Caenorhabditis elegans: one gene and its partners. The protein of the gene in region 1 purifies or fractionates together with the protein of each later gene. This does not show direct contact. Each region holds a gene or a part of one and is shown in the gene's direction. Other genes may lie near its edges. The genes, in order: F34D10.9, pdhk-2, T05C1.2 and herc-1.

Region 1 (5,088 bases):
GGAAAAAGTCAAATCGGAGAAAATAAAAACTCGATTTTTAAGCATTTTATTAGCATAATCAGAAGATGAAGTTCGATGGGGTCATGTGTTGTGGCTCGGCTATCACTTGGCTCCGCGAGTAGATCCACCAGTTGATTTTCCAGATGCTTCCTCAGCGACGCGAGCCTCTCTCTGTAATTTATTTTTGATGGGAAAATTAGTTGAAATTTTGAATTCAGAAATCCTCAAAGCGGTTTTTGAAAAAAACTCAAATTCGAATTCCCGCAATTTTTTTGATTAAATTCTGAATTCCCCGAGAAGCTAATGTTTCCAAATAACAAAATGCTTACCTTTGCAACCTTGCAAGCTCTGGCATGAGCCATTCTCTCCACCTGCATCTTCTTCTTCATTCGCTTTGGCATCAATTTCTTTGCGGCAGCCATTGCAGACCTTCTTCACAAGTTTCGATAACTAGAACTAACGAGAACTGATTTTGTTTCAAAAAGTTGAAGGAGAGTGGGAAATAAAAAAATCAGGCTTCACGTTTCTCGCGTCATTTGTTTTGAATTTTTTAAATAATTTCTTTTGAACAGATTAATTTTTCGCGTGTAAAAATCTTTTTGGACATCTGCTCTTTTGGTCTGGGGTCTTGGTTGGGGTTTTCAGAGAAAATCAGAAATTTTGAAAATTAATAAAACATTAAATTTTTAAATCAAATTTTGTTGATGTTGATGGGAAAAAATTGAAAACTAGTGAGAAAATTTAGTACTTTTATAGTCTAAAAAATATATTTCCAGACGAGGATATGGTCGACTCACGTCATTTTCTCTACAACACCGCCGGATTCATGATTCGCGCCTTTGCCTCAATGAAGAAAGGACGTACAACAAAGCCGCTAATCGCAATGTTCCCATTGACTGGAGAGAGTGCTGGATGGCTTGTAGTCACTGGAGTTATGCCGATTGCCACAATTTATGAGGATTCACTACTTAAAACGTAATATTCGGCCTGTAATTTTAACTTTAAAATTGATTATTTTCAGGTGTATTGGTCGTGCTTTCGAACGAGTAAAGAAAATGACTCCACCACTTCGTATCGTTGATGACTACTTTAATTCTGATATTATTCGCTTGAAATCTGAAGATCGTACTCGTTTTATTGATTTTCTGCAGACTGTCTTTGAGGGCACATCCAACTGATCTCTTACAGGCGTTTCTACCTATTGCACCATCTTGTTCCAATGCTTTTAATGAAAAAAAAAGTCTTAAAATATAGAGCATTACTTAATTTATCGGAAAATAGCTGAAAATGGCTTGGAAACTGCCATTTTTAGGCGATTTTCCTGCGTTTTCTGTGATAAATCAAGTGATTTTCTATATTTTGACACTAATTTTTAATGAAAAACATGGTGCATTAGGCTATTTTGTAGAATTGCCTCCTACTGTTATAATGTTCAATCTTTCTCATACACGGGCACACTGACTTTCCGAGTTTAATTTTTATTATCAATTTCTGAAATTATTTCCCCTATTTACTTCTCCACTTCTCATTTCATTGTCACATATTCACTTTATTTTGATCAGTTTTCACGTGAACATATTGTAATTTTTTTTCTGATGATGATTTTTTTCTGATGATTGATTAAATCAACTTCCAACTTCTTCAAACTAATTTATTTTATATTTTATCTAGTCTCAAATTTACGCACTTATCATTTTTCTACTCGAAAATGTCTACGCATAAGGTATGTTCGAGTTGGCCGATTTTCCTGATTAATTGAGGATTTTCTAGCAATCATATTTTGTGAGTTCAACACCGAATGGTCTTGATGGAGCTCAATATCTTGCTGTAAATCGTGATGGAAGTGTTCTTTATGGTCTTAAAGTTCGCATCGTATTGAGCATAGTTGAAGCTCCGGAACAAGCTCCAGAAGTCATCACTACAGCAACTGAAAAGTCTATCTGCAAATACCACGTGGCATCCGGAAACACAAAAACGTTCCAACTTGACGACGATATTGATCCGCTTCTTCTCGCTCGAATTATTGAATTTTATATGATTTCGGATAATATTGTCGCGCTGATTTCTTACGATTCAGAGCATTTTCAAGTTATACAGACACTTATTCATCTGGAACATTCGAAAGAATGGGCTCAGACGATTGTCGTGAGAAGATTGACTATTAGCAGAATGTCTGGGCCCCCATTAGTTAGTGAGTCAATCGGTTTTTTATCTGAAAAATGCCTCTGATTCTGACGAATTTGAATTGACCTCTAAGCCACGCCCACATTTCCGCGCGGTGCTTGCGTTTGTAACAATTCTGTGTTGATTTACGTTTTTCCCGATTTTTGCTTTTGAAATCGACGTGAAAACGGCAAAAATGCTTGGAAATTGGCGAAACTAATCTTTCTACTGTTTTGCCGCCAATTTCCTAACGAGACCCATCTGAAAGAGGCGGAGCACATTCAAGTGGCCGTGGAGCGCGTTTGCACGTCGATTTCGAAATGAGAAAATATATATTATAATTTATGTAGAGTTCCGCGAAGAAAATGGGAAAACCGGAAGTGCGGCACGGAAAAATGGGCGTGGCTTGAAGACAAAAGCGCGGCTATTCAAATTTGCCAAAACCAAAGGAATTTTTCACGTTTATTTCTGTGATATCTCGGCATTTTGAGTAAAATTTCAGATCTCAGCTTTCTGGATAAAGGAAGAATCTTATTATGTGGAGGTAGAGCATCAGTGGAAGGTGTCAAAGAACGAATGACAATAAATATCGCTGCAAATCCGTTAAATTGTTTCACAAAACCTGATGAGGATCTGAGCTCACTGGCAAGATATAGAAGGAAATCATTCAGAAAACTTAGATTAAATTTTCAGATGGAAGATTTCAATAAATTCCTCACTTCTCGACCATCAGATGTTGAAGCTAAATCTTTGATTAGTCTGTTTCTACTGCATCTCGATGAAGAAAAGATATCAGTTCTACTTTCAGAGTGAGCAAGCTGGGATTATTCTTTTCAATTCTAATATTTTAGCATTTAGAGTGTATCCTGATGATCCTCAAAGTGAGCCCGTGTTTGCCACAAACGTTATGGGAATGATTAATCGAAAAGATGGCACATTTTCAGTTGAACAACTGGATAATTCTGCATTATCGTATGTTATACATATAGTTAAATATTACACAGACGCGAAATTTTATACTGCACCCGGTCTCGACACGATAAGTTTTGTTAAGTACTGTAATTTCAAACTTGCTGCTTCAGAATTTGTTAAAATTTGAGTTTTTATTGATATTTATTAATAAATATATTAATCAGCAACAACGAAAGTTTCAAATTACAGTTTTTTAAAGGCGCACACTTTTTCGCATTTAACACAATTTTGCCGTGGCGAGACCGAGTACCGAACTTTTGGCACAACCTTCCACGCCTGGGTAATATAATTATTGAAAGTAATTTTTTTTAGAATTTGTGAGCCTCTCATAGTGACTTCAATTGTGAATATGAGAGCAAAACGTGGAAATGTTTGGATGACCTTCTCGGTTAGAGATGTTGAAAAGCTGAACACTTTGTATTGGAGATTTAAGCATTTTTATGTTGGAGTTATGCTGTAAAGGATTTTGAATAAATGATTTTCAAGCTGAATTTTCAAAATTTCAGGAGATTAATGGTTATTGGATTTCAAGGAAGTATGTACTTGTGGAGATTCGACAATGGGTTCACATTCCACTGTCTCACAAGATTTTTTATGTTTCTACACGGGTTAGTTCTTGGGCAATATTGTAATTTTACAAAAATGTGGTGAATGGGTCTGGCCACGATCTCAGGCACAATGGTCGTTAAGCAATATGCCAAAAATTTTCTTCTGTTTTATTTCAATAAATTGTGAGAACAACAACAAAATTTCCGCAGCAATGATATTTTAAAATTACAGTAAATAATCCTTAAAGGCGCACATATTTTTGCATTTAACAAGAATGTGTCGTTTCGAGACCTGATACCGTATTGTTGAAAATTTGCAACTTTTCCACTATGAAGAATGAATAATTTTTGTCATTTTCAGACCAACAATGATCCCTATCTATTCTCCGCAAAAACAATTTCATTTGTGTTATCTTGATATCAATCGTCGTCGATTCTTCCGATATGAGCATTCGGCTCGAGTTCTGAAAAGCAAGATGGATCCTAACGAAACGGAGTTTGCAATGGGATTTGATGTAGATTCTGATGGTGGAGCTCTTGTACTTGATCATCCCACTGAAAAGAGCCGAGAGATGGAGTAAGTTGCTCGTTTTATCGATTTAATTCAAATTCTTTTTTTTATAGATTAAGCTATTACCGAAATCCTATGAAACCTCAATCATTGGCACAGCTAGCAACTTATTCAGCATACAGGTAATATCTAGTGAAATCTTCAATTTTATGATTTAGATTATTACAGGAACTTTCCATCATTCGAAAAGTCAAGTTTATTGAGACGTTTGACCGGTGTTATTGATTGGATGTGGAGCATATAATATCTGGAAACCCTCTACTAACCCTATTTGAACTTTTATCGATGAGAACTTACAATGAATTTGCTGTATTTCAAATATTCAAATATAATTTTTTTTTTTAAACTACGGTAACACCCATTTGGCATGTGTAGGTCTCGCCGCGAAAAACCACATTGCGAGCGCGCTCGTCAAAACTATTGTTACCGAAAATATTATTTTTTCTCGCTGAATCTTTTTGTTTAAATCATGTTTAAAGTATTGAATTTATAATTAATTGTTAAAAATATTTATATTTTTACAGGCATGCGTCTCTGCTTTTACTCCGTAACAGTTCTACTAATCATAGGAATCGACTCGGATCCAACAATTCACGATATTGCTAATGATTCCGCTAACATTGTCACCAAGATTCTCGGTATGTACTGATTATTGTTATCTCTATAAATCTCGCTGAAGGTTCTTTTCAGGGTACGAGTTCAATGAACCTGACGAAACTGTTCACTTCATTTGATATGCCATCTTGCCTCCGACGGTGTATGCCTGCTTTGGACAACATCGGTGCACTTTTCGATGCCGCTAAGAACCCGGAAACGATGAAGGCAATGTGTCGC
Region 2 (6,042 bases), 5.0 Mb from region 1:
ATTATTTCAGAAACATGCCGGATGTTTTGCAGAGGTACTGCCACAGTTTCACTTGTTATTCTGAAGATAGACACACTTTAGACACAACACTTTTAATCGTATATTATAAAAAATCACAAACTGGTTTAAAAAAAGTTGGTATAAACTAAGTACAGTATTCGGCAAAAGAAACTTTAGAATATTTCTAATTTGGAAAGAGTCTGGACAACTGTTTTAAAAAAATAACTGTCATAACTTGATCAATTGATTGGTTAAAAGAGTATCAGAAAGACAGTTGTCTAGAATTTTTCTACAATTTAAGTTTCTACTCTTTTGTGATTGACAACATTTTTGCATCTACAAATAATGTTGTGACACTCTTCGTCTTCTTCAACAAAGTTACAGTAATCAAATTTAAGGTCGAAGCCCAAAAAGAGTATATCAGCTGTAAGATAGCAGCCACTCAAGCAATTTCTGAAGCACAAGGAGCAAAAGTGAGTTCATTTTGTTTCATGTTTTGAGTAGATCAAGTATGAGATTCAGGGATCATCAACAGAAGCGTATTTGACTGAAATGTGTCGAGCGATGGATGGATATTTGAGATGTTCTCATCCAATTATTTTGGCAAAGTGTGGTTCCGATGCATGGACATTAGTTTCTACTGTATGTTTATCAAGGGCAAAATTGTTTTTTTAATTCTCAAAATTTGGCATTTCAAGATGTTTTTCTTTTTCTTAAAAAATTCTGATCTTTTTCGATCTAGTTAAGAAGAGTAATTTTTTCGAAAAACCAAGAAATTCCAAAAAGCGTTCCTACAACCATCATTAGTTTAAAAAAAAACATATTTTTGATCAGTTTGGCAGATTTCAAGTAATGATAAATGCACTGAATAAGTTTCAGATCTACTTTTTGCCAGATTAAAGTGCTCTAGGGCACGCCCCTAACGTTTTTGTTGGGTACTATTTGAAAATTGGTCATTTTCCAAATAAGATCAATAACTTTCCTTGTGCAAAAAATCCCGTATTATTGAAATATCAGCTAATTTCAGGTGACACGTGACAGTCTTGGTGTGACAATGCCCAATTGTGACATGCATTCTGCATTATTCTAATCTCTACAACGAGTAGTTCATTTTTTCTTCTCAACTTTCTGTATACTGGTTCTGGTTCACACACTTTTTCTGGCATTGCAATTTGTTTTTACTTACTTTAATTTATTTAAATCTTGTGAAATTTGAGGCGCAATAAATAAATATTCGTAATGTTAATTTGCAATATAATTCGTTGTTAACTCAAAAATACGGTACCCCGGTCTCGACACGACCCGAACCGACGCCTTTAACGAGTACAGTAGTAATCGACATTAAAAAAATTTAAAAAAAACTTTCGGTTACAAAAAAGCATTTATAATGGCAAAATAGTGAAGTAAGTCAGTGACATCAATAATTATTTTAAACTATTGTTTTTAACGCTGGCTTTTCTTCAAAAAGCTCAAATTCCCATATTTGTAATTTTAAACTACCGCCGTAAACTTGAATTGCGCAAGACACTGAATTGCGTCAGTGTCCGCCTTGGCGCATCCCTCGATTTTCATCGCATCGGCCGAACTCGAAGCGAGATGGGAGGAGGAGATTGCCGACGTGCAATTTATACTCTCTGTTTCACTTTTTTTCAATATTCCATAATTTTCTCAATGCGGCAGCGTAAACAACGTATTTCTCTTGATTGTCCCACTTTGTACTTTCTCGTTTTCATTTCAAAAATAGAAAAAAACAAATTAATTTTCAGATGCGCTTTTCGCGGAAGTTACTAGGCCCTTTCGTGGGTTCATTGGCCAAGAAACTCGATTATTATAGGTAATAATATTTGTTTCAGCTTTAAAAACCAGGAGATTATGAAAAGTATCGTTTTTAATATTGGAATCGATGGCCTTTGTTCTCTGCCCGGTCTGTTTGTTCCAGGGAAAACTAGTTTTTGTTTATTTTTAGCCGGCTAAGGCGTCGTTTTTTTTTTATTTTTCTGCACTGTTGAGTGAATTTTGATCTTGTTTCGATGAAAAATTCAATATAAAGTTATTTTTCAGTCAATTTCAACCTTCATCACTTACAATTCAACAATATTTGGATTTCGGTCGAATAGGAACATCAGCAAATTCATACACATTTTTGAAAAATGAGCTTCTCGTTCGTTTGGCGAATATTATGCAGGAATTCACACTTCTTCCACCAAAGCTTCTTCAAATGCCAAGTTCAAAAATGGTATCAAATTGGTATGCTGAGAGTTTCGAGGATCTTCTTTTGTTCGAGGCATCTGATTCATCTCCAGAGCAAGTTGCAAGGTAAGAGAAAAAATTGAATACCTAATTTACAAAAAAAAACTTGATTTTTTGGTTTTAAAAGTTTAGAAATACATTTTTAAAATATTAATGTTAATTTATGTTTTTCAGATTCAATGATCAGTTAACAGTCGTACTGAAAAGACACGCACATGTCGTCGAAACAATGGCTGAAGGATTGATTGAACTTCGAGAATCGGATGGAGTAGATATTGCAAGTGAAAAAGGAATTCAATATTTCTTGGATCGATTTTACATCAACAGAATTTCCATTCGTATGCTTCAAAATCAACATCTGGTAAGTTATTTTAAAAATTTTAATATTTTCAAATAAAACATTTTTTCCAGGTTGTATTCGGAAATGTTCTCCCAGAAAGTCCTCGTCATGTTGGATGTATTGATCCTGCCTGTGATGTGGAAAGTGTAGTGTACGATGCTTTTGAAAATGCTCGGTGAGTGCAAGTTGATGATAAAATTGCCTAGAAATTAAAGAAATAAGCCGATAAAAGTCCAAAGTTTCACCAGAAAATGTTCTAAAATTTTTTTTTTGAGATTGATGTTCAAGGCCCTCAGCAATACCTTCCATTTCTTCATTTTTTGCTTCTTTGCTAGAACTTCCGGCTCTTAATTCTTGCAGAAAATTGTGATAAATTAATTCTGAGTAAATTTTTCTCAAAAAATTTACGAAAAGTCAATAAATTTTAACAAAAATTTCCGTTGGACCGCTCTGGTCCTCATCAGGCCTTCTCAACTATACGAATGGCGTCTTTTGGGTTTTTGATAAGCTAGTTCTTCGCTGTCCGTCTGCGACGAAGATTGAATGTGCTGTGTCTCTGGGTGAGCACATAGTCGTCAGTTGTCATTTGAGCCTGAAAACATAGTTCATTCTCTCTACCACCACTGCCCATTCAACCTTTCTTCCGTGCAGGGAGTGTTCTTTGAGATGGAGAGGGATGACGTTTGATTTTTTAAAACGCGTGTGATTTCGGGCAAACCTGATCATTTCAAAGAACGAAAATATGAATTAGAGGGATAAGGAGGAAAATATGCAATTTTGATTTAGAAAATTTCCGTGGGAGTTTTATTCTGATCTTTTACAAAATTATCATAGAAAATTTGATTTGAGGGTTAAAAAAACACAAAAAAATTTTTAATGATTTTTTTCACTTTTGCAAAAATAAAGGAACGGCTGAAACTATTTCACCTGAAATTTAGCGACATGATTTTAATCGGAAAAACTTAAAAAAAAACAGAAAAAGCTAATATTTTCATATAATAATTTTTTGTTACAGATTTCTATGTGATCGATACTACTTGACAAGTCCATCAATGAAGCTTGAAATGCACAATGCCGTTGAAAAAGGAAAACCAATATCGATTGTCGCCGTACCAAGTCATCTCTATCACATGATGTTCGAACTGTTTAAGGTTAGCTATGAAGATACGAATTAAAAAAAAGACGACGCCTCTTCATCACTTCAATGTAACAAAGTGCCTTTTTGAACGCACACACTTCTTCCCCACGTGCTGTTGCAGTTTTGATACTAAAAAAACGATAGAAAAAGAGAGATAAGAGATGAAAATGATAAGAGAATTGGAAAAAGAGGAATTAAAAAAGGAAACGATTAAGTTGAAAGTAGAAAGAACAGAAAAATGTGTATGGAGGGGTTTTCAAATTCTCTTTTTTTTACAGAATGCAATGAGAGCGACAGTTGAATATCATGGAGTTGATGATGATCTTCCAGATATTAAAGTTTATGTAGTCAAAGGACAAGAGGATTTATCTATTAAGGTATTGAATTATTGATTGGTTTCGAAAATCAGTCGTATTTTATTTAAAATTACTGTACATTTTGGTGAGGTTCTGTGGATTTTTGCCCTAAATTACAGAAGACAGTCTCAATATACTGAGTATCATTTTTTTTAATTTAAAGAATTTTTTCTAAATTTTATGGAATTGTTTTACTTTTTAGAGATTGTAAAACATTTTTTAAACAATTTTTTAGAGTCTAAAAAATACTAAACTTTCTTTTAATTTTTTTGTCAAAAATTTTTTTTTTAAGTTACTGGAAAAATTCTAGCATATGTATATACAGTTATTGAAAAATTCGAATGTTTTATTTTAAAATAAAATTGGTTTTTTTTTGCAATTTTTGCCGCAGGTTTCAAATATTTTCTTTTACAGATTTGTGATCGTGGAGGAGGTGTATCCAGAACTATTCTCGAACGTCTCTACAACTACATGTACTCAACAGCTCCACCACCGCCACGTGATGGAACACAAGCTCCTTTGGTAAGTATTTTGAAAGTAAAAATAAACAAAAACAATGGACCAAAAATTTATATTTGTGAAAAACCAAAAAACAACAATAAAACCATTATAAATCACATTTTGTTTCAAAAAAAATTTCAAAGCCAATTTTTGATCAAGTTATAGAAGTTTTAAGAGTTTTTTTTTTGAAAAAAACCAGTATTTAAAAGTTTTCTAATTTTTCGAAAATAAGTTGAATTTTTAATAACTAGAGTCCAGATTCATACTGTATGGTTTATATTTTTAAAAATCGAGATTTTTAGGCTGGTTACGGATACGGACTGCCACTATCTCGACTATACGCTCGGTATTTCCTTGGTGACCTCTTTTTGGTTTCCATGGAAGGACATGGAACGGATGCATGTATCTACTTGAAAGCTGTACCAGTTGAGGCTAGTGAAGTACTCCCAATTTATAGTACTTCTTCGCGTCGAAATTTGACAATGGGACCACAAGTAGCTGATTGGTCGCATCATGTTCCTGGTCAAGGAAATCGTCCAGCTCAATCATGATCGTACTCGAGTTTTTTGTATTTATTGCTCTTTTTTTGTAAGTTGTGAATATATTCTAGCCATTCATTTTATTCGTCTTTTTACTTCTACTGTTCTCCGTTTCTGTCTATCCGGTGTCCATCAAATCCCGAGAATTCTGTTGTATATAAAACATTTCTAGCAAAATTATTTGTTTTCTTTCTGAAACTTCTTCTAGCTCTACTCTTTCTCGGACATTTTTTTTGTATATAATCGTTTGTAGGTGCGATGGGCTCTATTCTTCTTCTTTTTCTTCTCTCCCCGTATTTCACGAGTTCGTTGTGATTTGAAATCCCTCCCGAATTAGACTCACAACTTTGGAATAAATCATTCAAACTCATACATTTGAATTTGACAAGTTTGTGGAAAAAAGAAGAGAAGATTCTTCTTTCCATCTTTTTCTTCCATGACAAAACAATTTAATTTTCGCGCTGCGCACTCGGCGACGACTACTAGGATGAGAAGCTGACGATGTGCCATGGAAATCTTGGTGTTTTTGTGAGCGCCTTTTCACATTTGAATGCTTCCATGGAGTTCAATTGAGAACATAGATGTGCGGCACATTAAAAAATCTCCTTTTCTGGAAATTTATATAGAATTATCTGTACTTTTTGCTATCTTCAGAAAGTGCAAATATTTCTCTGTTTCTATACTTTTCTGTTTAGGCGCTTTCTTTGTTGTTTGAAATGTTTTTTTTTTAAATATTTTAAGCTACTATACGAGTTTTCAAATATTTTTTAAATAAAAATTATAACTTTTAAATTAATTGAAACTATTTCTTTGACGAAAAGTCCAGCTCTGAATTGATTCAAAAAACTTTAAAAAGCTACAAAAATGGCGCTGGCACAGAAAAGTGGGCGTGGTTTAGACATGCAAGAGTGCGGCGCA
Region 3 (3,642 bases), on another chromosome or scaffold:
TCTTTTTCTGAAAAATAATATCATATAGTCTCGAGGAAAGGCATTTGCTTTCAGCTTATGTATATGTTGCTTTGTGTTTTTTTTTCTGTTTTTGCTCTGTTTTTCAATTTTCAGCCTGACTGCCGGAGAAGCTGAGAATATATTCAATTAATTGAAAAAAATAGGGAGAGTCTTAGGTCTATGCATTTTAACACCTGGAAAATAATTTAAACGGGAGAAAGTTTTAAAAAAATTAAACTTGATATGTAGGCGCAAAAATGGAAGGTAGGTAGACAGACAGGTCAGTAGGCAGTCCTGTAGGCATGTAAGGCTTAGAGAGTCAAATATGAGACAGGAACATACAGACAAATTCAGGAATGAGAAAGACACGTAACCAGGCAGGTGCTAGGCAGGCACTAAAGCAGTTAGGAATGAGAAACACAAGTAGGTCTGCAGGTAGGCGAATTGTAATGAGGTAACTTGAAAAGCTTTTATGACGGAGTTCAGTGTACGAAAACAAGCATCGGCGAAGGTAATCAGCCATGTAGGCAGGTAGGCATGCTTGCGGGCTCGTAGGCGGGCAGGTAGGTAAGCAGGGATATATATATATATGTAGATTTTTTTTCTTTTGAAGATCTTTAGCAAAACAGCTTGTTGTTTTCCTATAGGTACAACCAATTCCAATTCGCTTCTCTGAATTTTTCATTAGCCACCCCACTTGACATTTTGAGCTGCCACACACACCAAAAATGGTTATTTTTCAGCACCGAGACGAGGGTGCGTTCTCTCATGTTTTTTTGAGCACTTATCGCTTTACGATCACTCATTTTTCCCCCATCATTCTTCTCAAATGTTCCTTTTTTTGAAGGACAGTCGGTTCCGGGTTAGGATATATATTTTTGTTTTGTTTTTCTGGAAGTACATGCACCGTGGTTCTTGCCAAAATTTTCAGAAAATCTGAAGCTAAATTCTAGAAATTTTTATTCGACAGTTGAGATTTGAATCATTGTTTAAAATCCCCAAAAGAAAAACCGCAAATATCCTCTATAAGGCAGATCTACACAATTCTCAAATAATACCCAGCTGATAATTGTTAGTTTTTGTTCCAAAAATAAATATATATGTGCAGGTACATGTCATATAATAAAATGCTAAGACGGATCTGACAACTCAGGATTTAAATCATCTTTTGCGCGGGAACTAGGTCAGATTAAGAGTGATGTAGATTTGAGCTGGATTTGCCCGTATTTGGTGTGTTTTTAGTGGTTGCTCGGGGAGCAAGTATGAATTTGGATATTTTAGAATTAGCATATATTTAATCGGACCCCGTTAGGCAGACCTGATGCCTTCAAGATGCCTATACGTACAAGCGTGCCTGCTTGCAAGTTATGCGTCTTTTCAGACTAAACAAAGTTCATTGCATTTTTGAAAATCAATTCGTGACTACAAAAAAACGTGTTTCACGGCTTGACAGATAAACTCTGCAATCCAGCTCAAACTCACATCATTTTTTCCGAATCTTTTTTGATCTACTTCCCGCCCAATTTTTAAGATGTTTATATAGGTAGGATTGTTTCAAAGTTAGAGAGCAAAAGCTTCATATTTTCAAATTGTTAATTTCGGTTTTGGTCACTGGAACCAAACGGACCAAACTAGTAGTACTTGTAATTAAAAATAATTGATCGAATTTTTTCCCATTTCCTAGACTTCCTCATTTTCTTTCTTTTTGCCTTCCGATTAATCCCATCATGATGTGCATTTTTAGAAGTAAGACACCGAAAAAATTGGCAACTTTTGAGAGAAAATAGTAGCTTTTAGAGTTTTTAATTTACATATAGCGTTCGTCATGTCTCGGTGAGATTAGTATTCATATAGACAAGTATTTTTGGATTTGATTTTTGTATTTTCTTTCTTGCGGAATGTTATTTTACTCCTTAAAATTAAACTATTTCAATCATAAAAATGGTGTCTTTTTTCAGAAAAAAATGGCCTCGCAACAAGACGCCTCTCCACCAACAGGTTACAACATGGGGTAGGTTTTGGAACATTGAAAAGGCTGGCGTTCAAGCCTACGTGCCTACCTCGTGCCTACCTGGCGTAAACTTTGCAAGTAGGCATGAGGCAGGCAGGCAGTGAAAATTGTGAAAAAAAAAACAAATTTTCTTTAAAATTGTGCGAGTCAATTGCGGCGTCGCGTCTTAATAATTCTTCGAATCTTTCACACTTTGTTTTTTCTAAGAAGTTTGTCTGAGAAGCTTCTTCTTTAGAATCTTCAGTATAATAAAAAATAATTATCATATTTCCAGACATCGCCACTCGTTAACCATTGAGACCAATCCACTGCACTTGTTGCCGTCCAATATGCGACGTTTCTCCCAGGTGATTTTTTGAAACAAAGTCTAATTTTTAGTTTCGGAAACATTACTGAAATATTATCGAAATGATTCAGACATCTGAGAAATTTTTAGGGGGTTTGGGCCTCAAATAGATTTTTTTGGATTTTTCGGTTAAGAAAATTATCCTGCAAACTCACTCTATAGAGTAAAAAATACGAGAGTTAGATAAGTTTGTTCGGCAAATGCAGGCCAGCAATTCTTAAAAATTGGACAAAATGTGTCAATATTTTACATTCAATTTTGATAATAAAAAATGAAAAATATGTGCTTTATTTGAAAATAGCTTTGAGTTTAGTTGGAGCAATTAAAAAATGTAAAAAAAAACTGTAAAACTGCCTGAAAGTTGGAATTTGTCGGGAAAAAGTTTGATAGTTTTTAATTTTTTAAACTAAAATGAAAGCTATTTTAAAATAAAGAAAAAATTATTCTATTTACTATAATATAATTTTTATGACAAAAATTAGGAAAACATGGTGCAATATGACATTTTGAAGAATTTCTGGTCGGCACTTCAATAGCCCAGCTATTGAAAATCATATTTTATCAACAAATCTTCCGTTTTCAGGCCGACACTGCCCGTCATCCAGCAGCTCCTTTGCTCTCAAAACTCGCCGCCAGACAACAAATCCCTGAAGCAGTAGCCGAGAAAAAAGACGACGAGAAGCCAGAAAACAAGTGATTTTTTTCTGATCTCTGAACATTGTGTATTGTATATTTAAATTTCAATTCTCCAAATATTCAATTAATCTTCTTTTCTTATAGTTTCATTTATTCAAAGAAAAAAAACAAAACAAAAAATAACAAAAAAAAAGACGAAAAACACCGGAATTGGAAGGATTGAATGCATGGGAAGTTTGGAGAATGCGGAGCGGATGGCTAGTAAATATGTACATGGAATGTTTTTTGGAGGGGATTTTTGGAAAAGGGAAATAGAATCACAAGAGATTTTTAAGAAGAATTGGAATTAGTGCAACAATGAAAAGCTTCCAGCTTCCTGTTGAATTCGGGTCCCGGTTTTGGGTTCCGTCAGTTGTAAGATTTCTGTTCGATGGGTTCAACTTTGGTGGTGAGGCTTCTTGGGTGACCTTGGTAACTTCGACGCTTCCGTGGCCGGGTGTGAAGCTGGAAATAGGACTAGTTTAATGCGGTCAATTAAATTATGGCGGAAATAAGCGGAAATAATAAATCTAACTGTAAAAGTCGAGTTGAGGGACAGGTTTTGAGAGCAGATAATTTTCAATTTTGGATAAAAACATTTTTTTAAATA
Region 4 (4,631 bases), on another chromosome or scaffold:
CAGATAGTAGAATTTCCGGCAAATCAGCAAACCGGCAAATTGCCAGAAATTAGAATTTCCGGCAAATCGGCAAGCCGGCAAATTGCCAGAAATTAGAATTTCCGGCAAATCAGCAAACCGGCAAATTGCCAGAAATTAGAATTTCCGGCAAATCAGCAAACCGGCAAATTGCCAGAAATTAGAATTTTCGGCAAATCGGCAAGCCGGCAAATTGCCAGAAATTAGAATTTTCGGCAAATCAACAAACTGACAAATTGCCAGAAATTAAAATCTCCGGCAAATCAGCAAATTGCCAGAAATTAGAATTTTCGGCAAATCAGCAAACCGGCAAATTGCCAGAAATTAGAATTTCCGGCAAATCAGCAAACTGACAAATTGCCAGAAATTAAAATCTCCGGCAAATCGGCAAATTGCCAGAAATTAGAATTTTCGGCAAATCAGCAAACCGGCAAATTGCCAGAAATTAGAATTTTCGGCAAATCGGCAAGCCGGCAAATTTCCAGAAATTAGAATTTTCGGCAAATCGGCAAGCCGGCAAATTTCCAGAAATTAGAATTTTCGGCAAATCAACAAACTGACAAATTGCCAGAAATTAAAATCTCCGGCAAATTGGCAAATTGCCAGAAATTAAAATTTCCGGCAAATCGGCAAACCGCCAGATTGCCAGAAATCAAATTTTCTGCAAATTGCCAGAATTTTAATTTTCCGGCAAATCGGCAAATTGCGAGAAATTAGAATTTCCGGCAAATCAGCAAACTGGCAAATTGCCAGAAATTAGAATTTTCGGCAAATCAGCAAACCGGCGAATTGCCAGAAATTAGAATTTCCGGAAAATTGTTATTTTTAGAAAAATAGGATAATTTGAAAATTGAAGAAAAAAAACTAATAAAAAAGTTTAACTAAATTTTTTTGGAAGTTTTCACAAATTGTTAGTAATTTCATGAGAAATAAGTTAAATTTTTGTCCAAAAAATCAATTTTTCAGGCCGCCCAAGACCGTGAAGCCGCGTGGGCTCGCAAGGAAGAAGCCGCAAAGGCTGCGGAGCCGTCCAGCAGCTCAACTGATGCTCCAGAATCTGCTGAAACTCTGGAAATTCCAGAAGAAAATGTTCAAGAAATGACTGAATAATTTGTTTTTTTTTTGTTATCTCTTTTTTCTCCTTTAATTTATCTCCATTTATCCCCTACACAGTTATAAATTCTGCTACGTGGCCGTGTGGAAAAAACTCGGCCACCGATTTTTTTTTGTTCCCTCACGTGGTGCCAAAGTGTTTCATTTCTGTTTGATCTACAAAAAATGCGGGAATTTTTCCCCAAAAAACTGTGACGTCAGCACGTTTTTAATCGTGCAAAATCAGTTGAGAACTCTGCGTCTCAACTCCCGCATTTTTTGTAGATCTAGGTAGATCAAACCGAAATGAGACATTCTGTCACAACGTGTTCCCTTTATTGTTGTTGCAGTTGTTATTTGATTTTTTTTTTTGAAAAAATTTGAATTTTTTTTTCAGATTTTTTCCTCTGATACTGCTTCAAAAACTAAAGTTGTTGAGATCACACTATGATATTTTCTAGATTGTTTTTTTAAAATTTAATTGTTAAAAAAATCAGATTTCAGAAAATGCGAGCTGAGCTGCTCGGATGTGGACACACGGGCGAGGGACAGCTCGGCGTTCGGCTCTCCGAGTCGACGATTCAAGTTCCCGAGAGAATTAGTACGGAGCTATTTTTGTTGCAGAAATTAGAAAACAGAAAAAAAAATTAATTCCGAAATTAAATTTTAAAAATTAAAAAATTTCGGATGAAAAAAAAACAATTGGAAGATTTTTGTAAATCTTTCACAAAACTTTAAAAAAAACTTTTTTAAAGAAATAATGGCAAACCGACATTTTGCCGGAAATGGAAGATTCCGGCAAACCGGCAAAAAGCCAGAAATTAAAATTTTCTGCATATCGACAATTTGCCTAAAATGAAAATTTCCGGCAAATCGGCAATATGCCTAAAATGAAAATTTCCGGCAAATCGGCAATTTGCCTAAAATGAAAGGTTCCGGAAATCGGCAATTTTCCTAAAATGAAAGGTTCCGGCAAATCGGCAATTTTCCTAAAATGAAAGATTCCGGCAAATCGGCAAGTTGTCAAAAATGATAGATTCCGGCAAATCGGCAAAAAGCCAGAAATTAAAATTTTCTGCAAATCCACAATTTGCCTAAAATTAAAATTTCCGGAAATCGGCAATTTGCCGAAAATGAGAGATTCCGGCAAATCGGCAATTTGTCAAAAATGATAGATTCCGGCAAATCGGCAAAAAGCCAGAAATTAAAATTTCCGGCAAATCGGCAATTTGCCGAAAATGATAGATTCCGGCAAACCGGCAAAAAGCCAGAACTTAAAATTTCCGGAAATCGGCAATTTGCCGAAAATGAGAGATTCCGGCAAATCGGCAATTTTTCAAAAATGATAGATTCCGGCAAATCGGCAAAAAGCCAGAAATTAAAATTTCCGGCAAATCGGCAATTTGCCTAAAATGAAAATTTCCAGCAAATCGGCAATTTGCCTAACGAAAAAAAATTGATTACTTTGGAGCAAAATTGTATGCATCTTTAAAAAACTCTTTTTTTTTGAATATTTGTTTAAAAACTGTGTGAAAATAGTTTAAAATCGTCTCGGAATTTTCTCTGAAAATTGTTCAAAATTTCAGTTGGCGCTCCAAATGATATGGATGGAACCGCAGTGACGTCAGTCACGTGTGGTGAACAACATACAGTATTCCTGACAAAAGATGGCAAAATGTGGAGTGTTGGTAGTAATATGGATGGACAATTGGGACGAGGCAGTCGGACTGAGGGTTCTTTTTCGATTTATCCGGTTTCTTGGACAAGCAGTGCGAAAATTATTCAGGTAACTTTGAGTTTTTTTTTTGGCGAAAATCCATTAGAAAATGATTTTACCATATTTTTTCGCTAAATAACATTTGAAAAATAAAAAATTTTTCGTTTTTCCCTAGTTTTTGGCGAGAAAATCCCGTAGATCTCATTTTTGTAAACTCTTTTTCCGTGGAATCCCCTTTTCTTAGATTTCCATCTCGCAGATCCTCTTCCCATAGTTCCCATTTGCGTAAATTCTCTTCTCGTAGATCCCCGTTTCGTAGATCTCCGTCTTGTTGATCCCCTTCTCGTAGAATAGCAAATTTCTAGATCCTCTTCTCCCAGATACTCTTTTGGTAGATTCACTTCTCGTAAATCTCCTTCTCATAGAATTAATTTTGGTTCCCGTTTCGTAGATCTCTGTTTCGTGCAAGCTCCCTTCTCGAAGATTCCTTTGCCGTAGATCTTCTTTTCGTAGATCACCCTTCTCGCAGCTCTCTTTTTTGTAAATTCTCTTTTCATAGATCTGCCTTCCATAGACTTCCCTTCTCGGAGATCTCCTTTACGCAGAACGACGTTTTGTAGATCCTTTTCCATAGATTCTCCTCTCGTAGAATGGCTAATTCCTAGATCCTCTTCTCCCAGATCCCTTTTTTTGTAGATTCTCTTCTCGTAGATCTCCGTTTCGTAGATGCTCTTTTTTGTACATATATTTTCCATAGATCCCTTTTTGCCTTTAATGTAGATTTTTTCCATAATTACCCTCTCCGTAGATCTCCTTCTCGTAGATCCCATTTCCGTAGAATTCCCCCTTTCGTAGATCCCATTTTCAAAGATAGCCTTTCCGTATAATCTCCCTTTCGTAGATTCGATTTTCGAAAATAATAATCTCGCAGATCCCCTTCTCATAGATCCCCATCTGGTTGATCACCTTCTCGTAGATGCTTTTTTCATAAATTCCCTTACTTCAGATCCATTTTCCGTGGATCTCCTTTTCGCAGAGCCAATTTCCATAGATCGCCTTCTCGTAGAAATTCCATTTTTCAGATCTCTGCTGGCCGTTCTCACACAGTCTCCGTAACCGACGATGGGCGTGTCTTCGCTTGGGGCTCCAATGAGCACGGACAACTCGGAATGGAGAGTAAATTCACGTGGCAGGGAACACCACGACGTGTTCAAGAGATTAATGATATTGTACAAGTGGCGTCTGGATCCAATCATTGTATTGCGTTGGATGAAGGTAGAAATTTGGAAATTTGTGAAAAAATTCAAATTTTTGCTGGAAAAGTCCAAAAAGTATCTCAAAAACCTGAAAAATTGAAAAATTTAGTAAGGGGATATGGTCGGGGTACTGTAGTAGTACTGTAGGGGTACTGTAGGAGTACGGTAGGATTACTGTAGTTTAGGGAAATTTGACTTTTTCTCTTTTGAATGGATATTGGTTTGGGGTTAGTGGGGGGGATATGGTCGGGGTACTGTAGTAGTACTGTAGGGGTACTGTAGGAGTACTGTAGTAGTACTGTAGGATTACTGTAGTTTAGGAAAAATAAACTTTTCGTCTTTTGAAGGAATATTTGTTTTCGAATAATTTGCAAAAACGGAAAGCTGGATTTTTTTGAAAATAAAAAATAAAAATGTAATCCCGCTTCAACGCCAAAAGAAAAGTTGGGTCTCGTTAGGAATTGGCGGCGAAATTTTTTGCTAATTTTTGCTAATTTTGAAGCATTTTTTGTTGCTTTTAATAATTTTTGTACCAACGACGACCAAAA

Evidence for each region.
Region 2: the proteins of F34D10.9 (region 1) and pdhk-2 fractionate together in Caenorhabditis elegans (co-fractionation; one large-scale study listed by BioGRID). This does not show direct contact.
Region 3: the proteins of F34D10.9 (region 1) and T05C1.2 fractionate together in Caenorhabditis elegans (co-fractionation; one large-scale study listed by BioGRID). This does not show direct contact.
Region 4: the proteins of F34D10.9 (region 1) and herc-1 fractionate together in Caenorhabditis elegans (co-fractionation; one large-scale study listed by BioGRID). This does not show direct contact.

What each region holds. Positions count from the first base shown.
Region 1 is NC_003281.10:3,726,191-3,731,278, reverse strand, and holds F34D10.9 (CPSF_A domain-containing protein), read left to right. Parts: upstream 1-1,658; 5' UTR 1,659-1,708; coding exon 1,709-1,723; intron 1,724-1,770; coding exon 1,771-2,191; intron 2,192-2,665; coding exon 2,666-2,972; intron 2,973-3,021; coding exon 3,022-3,135; intron 3,136-3,447; coding exon 3,448-3,591; intron 3,592-3,641; coding exon 3,642-3,743; intron 3,744-4,044; coding exon 4,045-4,260; intron 4,261-4,307; coding exon 4,308-4,376; intron 4,377-4,422; coding exon 4,423-4,498; 3' UTR 4,499-4,570; downstream 4,571-5,088. Other genes in the region: F34D10.8 (uncharacterized protein), read right to left, coding at 103-171, 330-422; evl-18 (Cell division control protein 45 homolog), read left to right, coding at 777-975, 1,022-1,178; gldi-5 (Chondroitin proteoglycan 4 domain-containing protein), read left to right, coding at 4,781-4,892, 4,934-5,088.
Region 2 is NC_003281.10:8,737,137-8,743,178, reverse strand, and holds pdhk-2 (putative [pyruvate dehydrogenase (acetyl-transferring)] kinase, mitochondrial), read left to right. Parts: upstream 1-1,766; coding exon 1,767-1,834; intron 1,835-2,061; coding exon 2,062-2,316; intron 2,317-2,424; coding exon 2,425-2,611; intron 2,612-2,661; coding exon 2,662-2,765; intron 2,766-3,605; coding exon 3,606-3,741; intron 3,742-4,006; coding exon 4,007-4,105; intron 4,106-4,498; coding exon 4,499-4,606; intron 4,607-4,887; coding exon 4,888-5,136; 3' UTR 5,137-5,493; downstream 5,494-6,042. Other genes in the region: nssp-33 (DUF19 domain-containing protein), read left to right, coding at 1-34, 399-473, 523-642, 1,028-1,090. UniProt on the Caenorhabditis elegans protein: Inhibits the mitochondrial pyruvate dehydrogenase complex by phosphorylation of the E1 alpha subunit, thus contributing to the regulation of glucose metabolism. Required for normal lifespan.
Region 3 is NC_003280.10:4,480,437-4,484,078, reverse strand, and holds T05C1.2 (Protease III), read left to right. Parts: upstream 1-1,957; 5' UTR 1,958-1,964; coding exon 1,965-2,011; intron 2,012-2,284; exon of another isoform or gene 2,285-2,285; coding exon 2,286-2,358; intron 2,359-2,940; coding exon 2,941-3,054; 3' UTR 3,055-3,136; downstream 3,137-3,642. Other genes in the region: T05C1.1 (Activin_recp domain-containing protein), read right to left, coding at 3,311-3,497.
Region 4 is NC_003279.8:1,209,878-1,214,508, forward strand, and holds the start of herc-1 (HECT domain-containing protein), read left to right. Parts: upstream 1-1,607; 5' UTR 1,608-1,617; coding exon 1,618-1,711; intron 1,712-2,696; coding exon 2,697-2,896; intron 2,897-3,909; coding exon 3,910-4,102; intron 4,103-4,631. Other genes in the region: nsun-2 (tRNA (cytosine(34)-C(5))-methyltransferase), read left to right, coding at 985-1,128.